2 linked regions of the Mytilus edulis genome follow. The protein of the gene in region 1 interacts with the protein of each later gene in a biochemical or structural test. Links are inferred from orthologs where the notes say so. Each region holds a gene or a part of one and is shown on either strand. Other genes may lie near its edges.

Region 1 (8,079 bases):
TGTAAATGATTCTAGAACGCTTCATGATTGTTAAAACAAGTTTAATTCACTTAAAAAACAATTTAGAAACTTGTGTATGTTTAAACAGGAAGTTTAAAAAGCATGTGTAAAAGAAGAAATTAACCGGTGAGAGTCAAAATCTGTACATGACAGATATCAATATAATACGACTTTGAAAGTTAAACACTTCCATCCTTTTGTAAAACAGTCTTAAATATACCTATCACATTAATGTTTGAAGGGTCTTAAGCAAATACAAACCATATTAGTCAGTATGAAACACCAAAACGGAATGAACAATAACCGATTACATTTTGTAGTTTACAAATTCTAAGTTGGTTTACGGTTGTCTTTTTTACTATGTTTATATCATTTCAATCAAGCAGATACCAGTTTATTTCAACCAATGCATTGAAAAGAAACGAGAAATTTGTATTGAACGGTTTAGTTTTTATATTTATCAGTATTAATTTGATATTGAATAGAAAGAACTTATTAATAAGGGCGTGTTAAAATTATTAGTTTGAAAAATGATGAGAGCGCCCTCTACAATATCAATAACAAAGATGGCGGAACGTAAACAAACCACCTTGCCGCAAAATTGAACTTTATCTCTTATTTCTTGCTTATTGTACTCTATAGACCGCACCCCTCTGGAAGGTCCAATTTTGGAGAATAAAGTATGTAAACTGGTTCCCGTCTGACTTCTACACTTTGTTCGAGTGTAGCGTAATACAAGCAGATTCCAGTTAGTATGTAAAATAGTAAATATGAAACCGAGTGCTGTAGGCGGAAATATAATCAACTTCCTTTAGTTCTGGTCAATTGTATCGGAAACATGCTGCTGATAGCGTCATTTTCCAAAATATTAAAACCGGGAAAATTTAAAGTCGGTCAGGAGAATTTTCAAATTATATGTTCCAAGAAAATTTTAAATTGCTATCATTTTAATTATTATGAATAATATTTTTTATTCAAATCAGTTGTAACTAGTAAAGCAAACGCTAAACGGTGCGGACTGCAGGTTCATCATGTCCATTATAAATGACTACCTGATAAGAACGGCTGATTTAATTCTTGTGCTTCTATTTTTCCGATTTTTATTTCACGTGTTTCCGTGTTCAGGGCCCCTCTTTACCACCCTCATAGGTCAGAGGAAGATATAAGTGATGATTTTTTTAACATCTATTGTTTATAAACAATACACCTTATCGCTAATCCCGGCTGACCCGGCTGCTTGAACTTTCAGTGTTCCAGCTAGGTTTTCAAAAGGGCAGGGTGCCAATCCTGAAAAAGGGCATTTAACGCGCGAAAAGATAATATGAAAAGGGCATATTTTAATAAAAGATGTTAATCAAACATTTGTGTTTATTCGTTGAATCACAGGTTATACAAGAACAACATCTTTAGCCCATATAGAACTCTATCTTTCTACTTTTAAGGCTGAAAAACTTGTCAAGCAGCTTGTCACACAAGTTTTTTTTTATCATTGCTTGGCACAGTTGAACTTTATATGCAGTATGTTTTGAAAGGAGATCTGTTTCATACTGTTTCTATGGTCTACCACATTTTACCAGTTTCACCTTCAGTCTACCCCTGCTGTGCTTGATGGCAATACAGCACAAAACAGCTGTGCTCAGTAAATTCACAATTTTAGGATATAAAGCAACAGTGAAAAATAGTATCAAAAATAAAGAATACAGAAAAAGATGACCAAGGCACCCTACCAACACTGCTACTAAGACCCTCTTTAACTTTTCCCATAACTCAAAATAAATACCTAAACATATATATTAAGCAAGAAGTATGGAGACACATTTTAGAATATGTAAATGGGTTACTCAATGCTAAGAAAAAAATCAGATTGAGTTATCTTTCTTTATTCGGGTGTGCTCCTTCTTTGGAGGATTATAAACAGTACGTAAATATGATGTAAATATGATCACAATATGGCCGCCGATTTTGTTATTTTCGTATCAAAAATGAAGGCAGTCAATGACAAATACGTCTGAATTTTCTGTTTATTTTACAGAAAACAAATAAAACAATGTCTTCAACGAGTTAATAATGGTTTTCCAACTTTCTGTCATTACGTTTCTTCCATGAAACTACGGTAAACATCGCAAATTGTGCCCAAGTTGTTGTATGCACATTTCTTCAAAGATAATTGCCGACTGACCGATTCTATTTGAACGAATTAATGTTGATGATCATTAATGACCCATCCGATAAACGGATTACCTATAACAACAGATTATGACACCAGTTGTAACCATTGATTAGCTTGGGTGGTAAACAAAGTCATAATCTTTTCCCCAGGTAAAATTTAGTAATTAGCGTATCATATCAATACGCAAATTAATATGCAATCGATCTTCAAAAAAGGCAGGGCGCCCTGGAAACTGTAAAAAGGGCACAGGGCGCCACTCGGAAAGGGGCGGGCGCCGCGCCCTCTGAAAACGGCCTAGCTGGAACACTGACTTTTGATGCATAAGGTGTATAAAACTTAAATTGCACAATACCCTATAGTTTAGTAAATGGAACATTTTTTCAAAAGAACCTTATCTTCTATTTTGGTAAAAGAATTAGTAGTCCAGAAAATTGTTAACTTTTCGTTTACTTGTAACATCTCCGTAAATCGGAAGACTAAAGGAATTTATGCACAATTGACGACTTGTACATGTTTGTAGTTTCAAGTTAAAAAAAAGTAATTCAACAAATTAGTTTATAGCAGTGACAAGTGTCTCTTATTTGATGAAAAGTTTAAAAGATGTGTACATCGTTTGTTCTCTGGGTGGATCAGCCAGGGTAAATTCTGCCAATTTCTGGGTGTAAACAAATATATATTTATCAGTTATACCTGAACCATTAATGCAAGTCTCAAAGACTCCTGACCGATTGTTGCTTTGCAGCCTTTGCATGACGCTCTCCCACTTTTTGCATATTCTGCTTTGAAATCGCTCATTCTTACAGCATTTGTTTACACTTTCCCACACGTTTTGCTTTTTGCTGAGCGTTGCATTAAAAAAATAACTAAAAACCGCAAAGCACTTCATAAGTTCGATTAAAATATAAACTGCATATGACACTCTCTGGTAATCTTTAATATCACTGTAAGATGAAAATGATAATTTTAGAAAAAGTATATATTCAAAAGGGAAAATGGTATGCCTTCTATTCATTAACAACCTTATTTATGTTTGTTATTTTTGTATTCTGTATTCTGTTTTTGGTTTTCAACTATACACAGCTTTCCCGCCAAAAAAAATAAATCTTAAAAACTTACCGGTTTTGGAAAGGAAAGAAAAACGGGTCTTCTTTTTTTTTATAATTATTTTATTTTTGAAGATGAAACATGTGAAATTACATAATACAGTATTAGACACAAGTATAAAAAGTTAAATAACACTTGTAAGGTCAATTAAATCATAATGGTATAATAAGATATAAATATTACAATTGATTTTGTTAATTTAATGCTGCTTCTAACAATTGCCACTTCTGATCCAATTTTATTTTTTGTGTAGGGGTTAAGAAACATACAGAGTATTTTTCTATTTTGATCCAATACTTTAGATATTCTATCCCACCATATTTTGTGGGCAATACGCTCTTACATCTACATTTGTATATATAGTATTTAAGTAACAACAAAATATTATTAACTGTTTTACTGTTGACAAAATCCTCAGACACACCTAAAATGACCTCTTTTGCACTAAAAGGCAAGAAGATGTCATAATTTCTAATCCAATCTATAATGGAAAACCAGAAGTTTTTTGTTACATTACATTCCCAAAAAATGTGAAAAATATTTTCTCTAACTTCTGAACAAAATGTACAAAGTTCAGTTTCTTTTAATTTACATTTATATAAAAAGTAATTACATGGTAAAATTCTATGAACAATCTTAAATTGAAAATTTTGTAAAAACGAATTTCTTGTTATAATGAAGGGCATGGAATAAATAGCATTCCAATCTTCAATCTGTATATTTAAGTCTATTTCCCATTTGTTACGGGAAGATAGTGATAATACTTTATTATCCTCCAGAAATAAATTATAGAAAAATTTACAAGATTTTGGTTCTTTTTTAACTTTATCTACTAATTTATTTTCAATATTATCAAGTCTAGAACTACCTTCTATCCTACTTTAATTTCCATCTATTTGGAATAGCACTTAAAATACCATAAAACTCTACAAAATTAGTCTTGGTATTATACTTTTAAGCTTACCGGTTTTGGAAAGGAAAGAAAAACGGGTCTTCTTACTATATATCTTACTCCAAATATAGTCGTGTCTATAGTCGTGCCATTTAATAGCTCCGTTTTCTGATCTGACTTGTGTCGTGAGATGTTTGGACTTTGTTATACTAAGTTTACATTTAAAAAGAATAACGTATGAACTAAGAAATTCGGTAATAAGGGTATATGTAAAGCTAAATACTGTCCGTATGAAATATTGTCCACCAGGAGTGACTATATTCATTGGGACTTCAGTCATAACTATGTATCTAAAACATAGATGTATTTATCATGTAATACCCATCTATGGTATCATGAAATATTTTCCTCATTTATGAAATTATCTCCAGAGAAGGACATATCTTCATCATTGTGAAATTCTGTCTGTTTAAAGACAATATTTCACAGATGAATGATTTGTAAAATGAGACTATATTTTACAGTCAGATTGTCATGGACTGAATTTTGTCTCATGAAGGACGGGAAATGAAATACAAGTATTGGAAAACGATATTCCAATTATTCTTCTACCTCCAAAACGCATACAAAATATCCGTCAATCTAGTTTATAGAAATACTAGATGTATATTCAATTTTAGATTTTTAGAACATAGTCATTACTTACGGGGCGCTGAACGGGAGTCTTGTGGTTTTGTTCAAAATTCAATTCTGTCATGACAAAATCATTTTTGTCTTACAAAACTATGTGATACAGACTTGTTTTATGAGAACTTCAATTTTGTGATGACAAAATTCATTTTTGTAAACAAAATTCATTTTTGTAAACAAAATTCATTTTTGTAGACAAAAATCATTACAATAATCATTTTTGTCATGACAAAAATTAAATTTTGTCAAATAGGTATGCAAATATAAACTTATTTACATACAAAATTTACTTTTGTGACAAAAATGAATTTACAAAATTATTTTTGTGTAGACAAAATTGACTTTTGTGACACACTGAACATGGACTTTTGTGACAAAAATGACTTTTGTGACAAAATTGACTTTTGTGACACAAAAATTGACTCTTGTGGCACAACATTGAATTTTGTAACTTAATATCAGTTGTGTATGCAAATTCGTTCACAGAATCCAAACTAAACTAATTTGCATACAAAATTGACTTTTGTCGCCCAATTTTCAAATTAGGTAGTCTGTGTTACAAAAATGAATTTTGTCATGACAAAAGTAACTTTTGGCCACTGAAAGATAATTTTGTATGACAAAATTTTAAATTTGTAGTATGCTACAAATTTTGTTAAACTGAACTCATTTTTGTTTAACAAAACTCACTTTTGTCTGTACAAAATTGAATTTCGAGTACAAAACCACATGCAAGAGTCCCATTCGGCGCCCGTATTACTTATATCTATACAGTATAATTTTGTACAATGGAACATATGTGTCTTTGGTAAATCTGAACGCAAATATAGTTGCTGCAACTCAATAACAGCCTTTGTATCTAATGAGAAATGTAAATATGCTTAATAGATATACTTCCTACAGCGGTGTGGTGAGATGATTGAGGCTGTTAATTTTCTCCTTGAATATATTCGTGTACGGTTCGGCAATAAAGTTAATCGACAGGCTGCATGTATTCATATGGGCACCAATTACGTCCCTTTAATAGCAGAATTATTCTTGTACTTTTATGAATAACAGTTTATGAGTAAAGACCTGTCTAAATTGCATTTAATTTATATATTCAAAAACACTTACCGTTATCAGATCTTATTTTGATGCTATTTTTTGTTAAATAATCAAGAATTTTCTAAATATACTGTCAACTTTTACCATAAGGAACTTACTTTAAATTCATAATATAAAAACTATAACTGTCCTTTCTTAGAGTAACGATATTTCAGTTTTACATGGGAAACTAGTCAATTTAAAATTTATGACAAAAGGGACAATTTTTCAATCCCTATTGTTAATTTTCCACTTTTGTTTGGACGTTGGTGTCCCTTTCACCATTTACGGTGTTTATATATCGCAACTCGTTTACTATGTCCGTGTCTGTCGTGACGTTTTTGACTTCAATGAACGTACACTAGTCTAGTCGGGGGTTTCGTAACCACAAATCACTTAAAACCTTTAATAAATTCTTCCACAGAAAGATATGGTTTTGAAGTTTAGTTGCGCATGTAGAAACTTGTTAAACATTTTGTGGGATGTTGTTTACCGAAATAGAAAATTTAGAAACGATCCGGATAAACCTATCGATCATTTCAAATAGATTCATTCAAAAAGGTTACCAATGCAACACTGACTGTACTTGAATCTTTGATTGTTGTTTTTATTGGTATTACTATTGATTTTGTATTCAATAAATTAATTAAAATCAGACTAAATATCACTTTTATATACATACCGTGATATGCACATTTATGACTCAACAATCTGTCGATACCTGTATATTGGCATTGCGCAAGGTCATGTTTTTTTCAATAACTGTTAATGACGTCTTTATACTAAATCCGTTGGACGTTGGATCTGTATTGATATCTTCATCTTAGATGCATGATTTTTTCATTAATTGATATTTGCTTTGAACTAGCTGTTAACCACTACGACTACTTTTTTTTTTTTGGGGGGGGGGGGGGGGTGAGGGGCGATGTGTTAATACCCTGTCAGGTCCACTATGTGTTTTCGTTAGATGTATTTCTATTTGTATCCATCTGATGAGTTCAAAAGACCTTTTCTAACTGATTTTTTTTTCTTATGTTGTACTGTTACATAACTTCCCGGGTTAGGGGTGGGTTAGTGCCGTCAGACTAGTTTAAGCTCACAACATTCTATATTATATGTGCCCTCTCCCAAGTCAGGTGCATGTTAATAAGTGGTTGTCGCTTTTTTGCATGTTATTGAGTGGTTGTCGCTTTTTTCTGTTTCTCATTTTTGTTTTTCGTTTATTGTTTTGTATAGTTTGTTCTTAAGTTGTACTGTCCCAGGATATGGGAGGGTTTGGCGCGAACAAACTAGTTTAACACCGCCACATTCGGTATGTGCCTTTCCCCAAGTCAGGAGTCTGTGGTTGTCGTTTGTTGGTTTATTTTTTTTTATATATATTATGCCGTTTTTCTTATCTTTTGTCGAATTGACAAAAGATACTAAACTATATGTAATCTTGCAGGATATTAAACGTTAAAATTCATTTTTTAACGTACGTAGATGGACAACTTCTTAGAATTTGAACTTTTGTGATTTTCAAAATTTACCTTTTAGAAGTTTAGGCCGATTAAAGTTGAGTTTTACTTATTTTATGGATGTCCGATCTTGAAATTAAGTTCACTTTTATACTGCTTTATTGACTAAATCTTTTTTTGAGTAAAACAAGGAATAATAACAGTCCATTGTCTTTTGGTTCATTTCAAATTGTCTGTTTAAAGGGAAATTGATAAAGGGTTAGGGGTAGGGTTTACGGGGCGCCGAATGGGACTCTTGTAGTTTTGTACAAAATTCAATTCTGTCATAACAAAATCATTTTTGTCTTACAAAACTATGTGCTACAGACTTGTTTTGTGAGAACTTCAATTTTGTGATGACAAAATTATTTTTTGTCATGACAAAATTCATTTTTGTAGACAAAATTCATATTTGTCATGACAAAAGTCAATTTTGTCTAAAAGGTATGCAAATATAAACATATTTGCATACAAAATTGACTTTTGTTACCTGATATGGAAATTAAATCACAAAAGTCAATTGTGTGAGGTAAGATTCAATTTTGTGAGACAAAATTGACTTTTGTGAGACAAAATTAACTTTTGTGAGACAAAATTGACTTTTGTGAGACAAAATTGATTTTTGTGAGACAAAATTCAAT
Region 2 (7,431 bases), on another chromosome or scaffold:
TGCTACAATGTCTACTGGACACAAGCTTGTTGTCAGTATATGGTAAATCACAGTCTACAATATTATAAGCAAAAAAGTTACATTTTATTTGATTATAACCATTACAAACTTATTTGTATCAACAATCTCACAGCCTTAATCCATGTACTAGAAGGTAAAAATATGCATCATTGTACATTTAAAAAAAAACAATCAATTTGTTTTGCTACATATAACAAGTAAATAAGTTATTGGAGAAAAATAACATGTGCGTTTTTAATCTTGGACTAAAAAAAATCAGAAAACTGTGATAACATTTGTATGTTACAGGTTTCAAAGGCACAATATACATCGTTCATTTTGTTAAATGGTAAACAAGTTCTATTGATATTATTATTGTCTTTATGTATAATAAACTTAAGAAAGATAACTTAGTTCATTTAGGTTGTCAATCATGCATAAGCAGATAAGTACACCTATGTTATTATAGAAAATACATGCCTATAATATCTAAAGGATGTTTTTACAGTTTCTCTACATCTCTACACATATTAGATACATCTTATGTACATTAATTTATTGTAAGAATTAATGATCAGAGCATGAAGGTATGCCTCATAACTTATGCGCACGATTAATCTTCCAAGTAATACCAAAGTGTCTTATATTATCTGATAATATATAGTTATATGCCTGTGATGACTAAGCCTTGTTATTACAGCATAGTTTATCCCTTAAAAGTCTTGTTTCATTGATTTTCCATGGTTGATCAAAAATATATTCATTGAATTGAACAATTAGTTATCATGGTTATCAAGGTTAAATGAGCAAATTTTCGAGAATATAAGATATTTTCTTTTGTATTGATCATATTTATATAAATATTTGAATAACATGAATAAGTTCAATTTAAACCTAAATCATGTAAATACAACTGACACTGTAGTAGAAGAATTAAAAAAGCGAGAAAGAACCCAGGGCAAATGTACTTAGGGCAAACAGATCCAGTGGAATATTACATGATTATGTACATGTATGTAATCAGAGTGAATCAACCTGATACCAAGTTAAACAGGATTTTTCTGAACAATTTTACCTTCTAAAGCCTTGCTTATGGTAATTCATCACTACAGTCTAGTAAGGTTCTCTTACAGACTTGTGTTTGTTTCAATTTAATTGATTAAATAAGACATGTAAGAAAATCCCCTGTCTTCTTATGTTCATTGATGTTGTGCTGTTATACCACTGTCCCATTTAAGGGGGGGTTGGGATCCTGCTAACATGTTTAACCACTCCACATTTTTTATGGAGGCTGTAATTCAGTTGTTGTCGTTTGTTTATCTATAACATATTTTTTAATCATTCATTTTTTTATATAAATAAGGCCGTTGGTTTTCTTGTTGAATTTTGATATCATAGCCTTTTATAGCTGACTATGCAGTATGGGCTTTGCTCATTATTAAAGGCCATACGGTGACCTATAGTTGTTAATGTCTGTGTCATTTTGGTCTCTTGTGGACAGACTCACAGTTGTTTAATTGGCAATCATACCACATCTTCTATACATCATGATTTTATATTTTCTGACAATGTACATATATTGTGTTTATCCTGAAATTTCTCCCAACACTTGAAAATTTAGTTATTAAAATCTTAATTATTGTCTCTAATTTCTCAAAGAAATAAACATAGTCGAAACGTTAACTCAGACCATGAAGAGGACCCCTAAATGAACTGGTTAGGAAACAAATATATATCTGTATATATATATATCCCTTGCTCAACATGGAAGTGGGGTAAAAAAACAAAATAAAACAAAAATCAGGAAAATTTCCAGAATTTTTCAATATGTTCAATTTATATATATAGAACTTTTTTTCAAACTTTTTTAAATCCCTGCATTTACGCAGAAATCTACTTCCTTTTCCCAGTCTTGTATGCATGAGACTTTGAAAAAAATATATATTTATCAGTATAGTAAAATAAAGGATTGGAACTCAATACCAATTCATTTTTAATAATCGTTCTATATGAACGTTACCTGATGAAAGCGTTTCTTTCGATCAGTCTTTGTTTACATTAAATATGATGTCTTAACTTAAATAACATCACAACTAAATCCCTAACAACAGAACCAAATCCAGAAACATTACGGTGTTTCCGTTTCTTTTTTTAACATGTTTGAATTTTAAAAAATTATTCATACACACTTCTCCCCATTTCACAGATAATGCCTGCCTCATATTAGTAAAATTGAGAATGGAAATGGGGAATGTGTCAAAGAGACAACAACCCGACCAAATAAAAAACAACAGCAGAGGGTCACCAACAGGTCTTCAATGTAGCGAGAAATTCCCGCACCCGGAGGCGTCCCTCAGCTGGCCCCTAAACAAATATATACTAGTCCAGTGATAATGAACGCCATACTAATTTCCAAATTGTACACAAGAAACTAAAATTAAAATAATACAAGACTAACAAAGGCCAGAGGGTCCTGACTTGGGACAGGCGCAAAAATGCGGCGGGGTTAAACATGTTTGTGAGATCTCAACCCTCCCCCTATACCTCTAACCAATGTAGAAAAGTAAACGCATAACAATACGCACATTAAAATTCAGTTCAAGAGAAGTCTGAGTCTGATGTCAGAAGATGTAACCAAAGAAAATAAACAAAATGACAATAATACATAAATAACAACAGACTACAATGTGTTTGTTTTGAATAGTCGAAGAAAGAGAACAATGAGTTGAGGGTTGGTTTTTTTTTTGTATAAAAAGAAGAAAGTTTAGGTGTGTTCTCAGTTTTAGAAACCCATAAACGGGAAAAAACGAACTTGACTGATGTTTACGTTTCAGTTACATTTATCTCCCCCACCTTTTGCCCTTCCGATGGTAAATGAGTCTGACGCTAGCATTATTGGTTCAGTATCGATATCTGTCAAGCTGACAAGCTGTCCCCATGCATCTGCATCCATGCTTAAAACTGATTCACCTAAAATTGTGCAGGTCTGACTCAAAGTCTCTAGATATCTGCCCAAACAGGGGAATATAAGTAAGGGGGAGGGAAACCAATGCTAATATGCTGGGAAGATCTTATTCGAACCTGTTGGGACTTTACCATATCAAATGAGTAAATATCAGAGATAATCGGAAAATAAATCGTATCGTCCCATTGGTTTAAAAACATTTACGTCAAAATGACAATAACTTACAACATGAATATTGATACATTTGAACTCTATTATTCTAAAATTAAAAGGTCAATACACAGTTTGATAACAAACTAACGCGTATTAATTACATCCATACGCTTGTCCGACTAATGATATATTAGTCCAGCTGATTCGTGCATTTTTTCAAAAGAATTGTGGGTTTGATGATAAAAGCATGAAACTTTGCACAATGGTAGATCTATATATGGTTGTCAATTTAAGCTATATGGACCCACCCTGAAAAATCCAATATGGCGGCCATTTTCAAGATTACAGCAAATAATATTCAATTCTAATATTTTTAAAGCATAACAAATGTAATTCAACGTTTCAAGTAAGTCAAGGCGGTATTTAAAACTTTAAAAATAAATTTAAATGGCGGACATTTCAAAATGGCCGCCAAAAATGTAAAAAAATTATTTATCTAAAATTTACTAAAACATAGCTCTGTTGATATTCATTTCGTTCTTCGAATTGCTATTTGCAGTTGATACTACGTTCTAAGGATTGTGTTTCCATAATACATGGCTTGCATAATATTTTAATCAAATATCCCTTAAATGGGAACATTCGAACGTTTTCGTGACGCCTTTATGATTTGTTTGACTGTGTACCATCTAAATCATAAATTAAGATTTTAAATAAAGGCGAAGTGGTATGACTGCTTATGAGACAAAGCTCAACCAAATTTCAAAAAAAATAACAGTTATAAGTCACCTGACGGCCTTCAACTATGAGTAAAGCCCATACCACATGTTCTACCTCTCCTTGTACGATTCATAGTACATGTATTTTTTTCCCAAAAAAAATTTGTCAATGCTGTGTGATTTGATCCTTATTATTTCATATCTGTGTTGTCTACAAATGAGTTTTTAAAGCAGTAGTATCCATCACACAGAAATGGCAAACCTGATTTCATTTAAAACTTTCACATTTGGTGAAATATAAGATAAGAGAATTAAAAAGATATTGGTATACCTAACATATACCAACATGTTTCTAATGTGATTATACTGGATATGACTCATCAAGCTATTTAACCAATAACACCTGCTGACCCTCCTTGAACACCTTAGATCATCTCCTTGTTTTATGAGAGGGTTCCTGTTGCTCATGGTGTCTTCCTCGTCTTCTTTAACCATGTTAACATTTAAACAACAACATATTTTCACAGCAGTTTTAAAAATGTGTGCCCGCAAGTATAACCCATTTAGTCTTTGCACAACTCTTCACCACATTTGAAAAAGAAATGTACATAAAATCATAATCCTCCCACATTTTTATCTACCGCTAGAGTATCTTTCAACCATATTTTATGAGCTCATGCAAAATGCTGATACCTTTGTGATAAGTATTCAATAGAGTATATATCCATTTCTGTAAAAGACTTCCTATGTATGTGCTGTATTTGTGCGGTATTATTAATAACATTCAAAACGATAGCCCGGTCTTCTTAATTTACAAGTGTTTAATTATATTCATTGTTTGATCTACATATACCATTTTCAAATCACGTTTACAACACTAGAACTGTATAGTTAATGGTACATCACATACTATAGCACACATACACTATGATAAATGGGATAACAATGCTAAGAACCACAGAATAAGCAGCATAATAACACCTTTATACATTAGAAGGGACCTTATCTTAATCTTCTAACATACAAATATCTACTTCAATCATTAATGTTACAAATCAGTAGATAATCGGATAATATAAATCAAGAATAAAACAAAATGTGTAACAGTATGTTATTATATAATCTTTTCAATGATAAAGAAAGACAAAAAAAAGCAAGTTCTAATATTTAAAAAAAATAATAATAACGTTTTGTTATTACAGAACATTTGTATATCAAAACAGCATTCATCGCAGAATTATAAGGATTCAGTGATTGTTTCTGTTTTTTTTTTTATTAGTATTATTCAAGGCAATGGGATTGCGGAATGAAGATTTACTTATTATATCATTAATAAACATTATTTTGATAACTGCTTCGATCAGTACTTTCTGTTTCAGCTATATACAAACAAGAAATGTGTTCTTCTGTATAAAATATTGAAGCAGCTAGGTTTAAGCAATTAACTACCTGACATAGTTCTTCATTTCTCGGAATAAAATATAAATTTTTCGTCAATTATAGACATGTTATAAAATTAAGTGATTATTATGATTTACTGCTTCACTATGTACAATATGTTTCGAAGGTCTGCATATATAAATGACATAAAGTAAAGACATCAATTTTATTTTTACACATAAAACAAGATCTCTCATTTATTGGTTTAATACTTCTCATCATATCGTTCTGTTTCTATTTTAAGTGGCACAACGTCACATATACATCAAAAGTTTGCATAAGCACTTCTAAATTTGATAGACATATTTTGATTTAAATATAACTCTGTTCAATATTGTGATTGATATAGCTTACAAGTACGAAGCTTGTTACCATTCCTCTGTGACAAAATTTTCGTTTGCCATTCTGCAATATATTTATTAAGTAAAACAAGTTTTCAAGTTGTATATAGAACAATATTCTTATGCAGCACACTACCTTTACTAGTAAACCCTAAGATTTTATAAAAAACAAATTTGATTTTGCATCTGCAGAATCTAAGGATATGATTGCAAATTTTATTTCCACATCTGTACTATAGTGCTCAAGAGAGGGTCGAAAGATACCAGAGGGGCAGTCAAACTCATTAATCGAAAATAATCTGACAACGCCATGACGGCTAAAACAATTCAACTTCATAGGACAGAATTTACTGCAAAGTTTGCGTTTTGTTCGCTACTCAGTGACCACAACCTCGGACAGTTTGTTAAGAAACCGGTTGAGAGTTTGGTAAAAGTAAATGGTGAGTGTAAATCTCATGAAAAAATAAATACCACCAAACAAGAAGACTTATTAAAAGCACAAGACTTTCAACTCTCTCAAACTCCTAAAATATTACACCGCGAGTCGTTCACAATAAAAATCGCAATTTTCATGATTTTCATGACTCAATTGCCTTGCTTAAAAGCTTTGTGATATCAGCACTGATATTGACAAAAGAGCAATGATCGATCAGTATGCTAGAGCCTATATTAAACAGAAGGATGAAATCATAAACAATAGACTTTCAGGAAAACTTTGTAAATTCAATCTTTGCCATTTTCTTATATTGAAGTATTTTTATCTGTAATTAGATGATTTAACTAATCTTAAACGTTTATTTTGAGTAACAATATGCCGGATGAACAAAAAAGTGTGCCACTTATTGAAAAACATAAGGTTTGGTATAACACGACAACTTCTATAATTTTCAAAATGATTAAAAAAAGACACTTTTAATTCTAGATCCGCGCCTGCTACTATTAGACTTTTCGATCCATCCTCTATTAATGAGAAAGACTTTTGAATATGTGTTGCATTAATGTCTAGTCTCTTTGTTTAAATGTAGGTTTGATATTTAAACAATAACCTTATATGAAGATGGAGTTATTAGAAAGAGCTGTGATCATATGGTGCTAAATGATACTTTTGTTTAGTTTAGTTTATTAAAGAAAACTCAGCCGCATTGAGAAGACTGCGTAACAGGAGCATATTATGCACAATATAAATCACAACATATTTCATAATACAAACAGAATACATTTTTAAATTATACATCTTCAGAGATAAATCTTTGTTTATTGCAGTTTTAAATCAGACAAGCATCTTTTCTACCTTTTGAATAAAAATTGACAGCTTAGACAGCACATTATTATTACAATATTTAAGCATGCCCAGTACTTTTTTAACAGTTGTATATTTTAAATAATAAGGAGGTATGAACTTCCCCCTTAAATCTTTAACTTTATAATTGGTACATATACATATATAGTGGTACACATCCACAAGACCAGCTTTACAAAGAGGACAAATTCTCTCATTTCGTGGTACATTTCTCCATCTTCCTGTTTCAATGGGAAACTTTGTATTACATACCCTTAATTTACATATATTTACTCTATGACCCCGCCTTAATTTTAACAGATATGGTTCTAAGCAAAACTCTTCTTAAAGTGTAAATAAAATTCCCCCTTGATGAGTTATCTATATCAGAGAACCATTTTTGAATAAACTGGTCCTGGAGACGCTGCCTCACATTAGTTTTAATATAATTATAATCAACTTGCTCCGGAACATTATATATTTCACAAAAGCCACAGTCATTAAACACAGATTTTACATAGTTAAACCATTTGA

Evidence for each region.
Region 2: of the proteins of poly [ADP-ribose] polymerase 1-like (region 1) and E3 ubiquitin-protein ligase CHFR-like, one has a biochemical effect on the other in vitro, tested with the Homo sapiens proteins (2 studies listed by BioGRID). The link is inferred for Mytilus edulis from reciprocal best matches to the Homo sapiens genes PARP1 and CHFR.

What each region holds. Positions count from the first base shown.
Region 1 is NC_092346.1:99,417,919-99,425,997, forward strand, and holds the start of poly [ADP-ribose] polymerase 1-like, read right to left. Parts: upstream 3,095-8,079; 5' UTR 2,966-3,094; coding exon 2,861-2,965; intron 1-2,860. UniProt on the Homo sapiens protein: Poly-ADP-ribosyltransferase that mediates poly-ADP-ribosylation of proteins and plays a key role in DNA repair.
Region 2 is NC_092349.1:44,145,284-44,152,714, reverse strand, and holds the start of E3 ubiquitin-protein ligase CHFR-like, read right to left. Parts: upstream 3,025-7,431; 5' UTR 2,954-3,024; coding exon 2,854-2,953; intron 55-2,853; coding exon 1-54. UniProt on the Homo sapiens protein: E3 ubiquitin-protein ligase that functions in the antephase checkpoint by actively delaying passage into mitosis in response to microtubule poisons.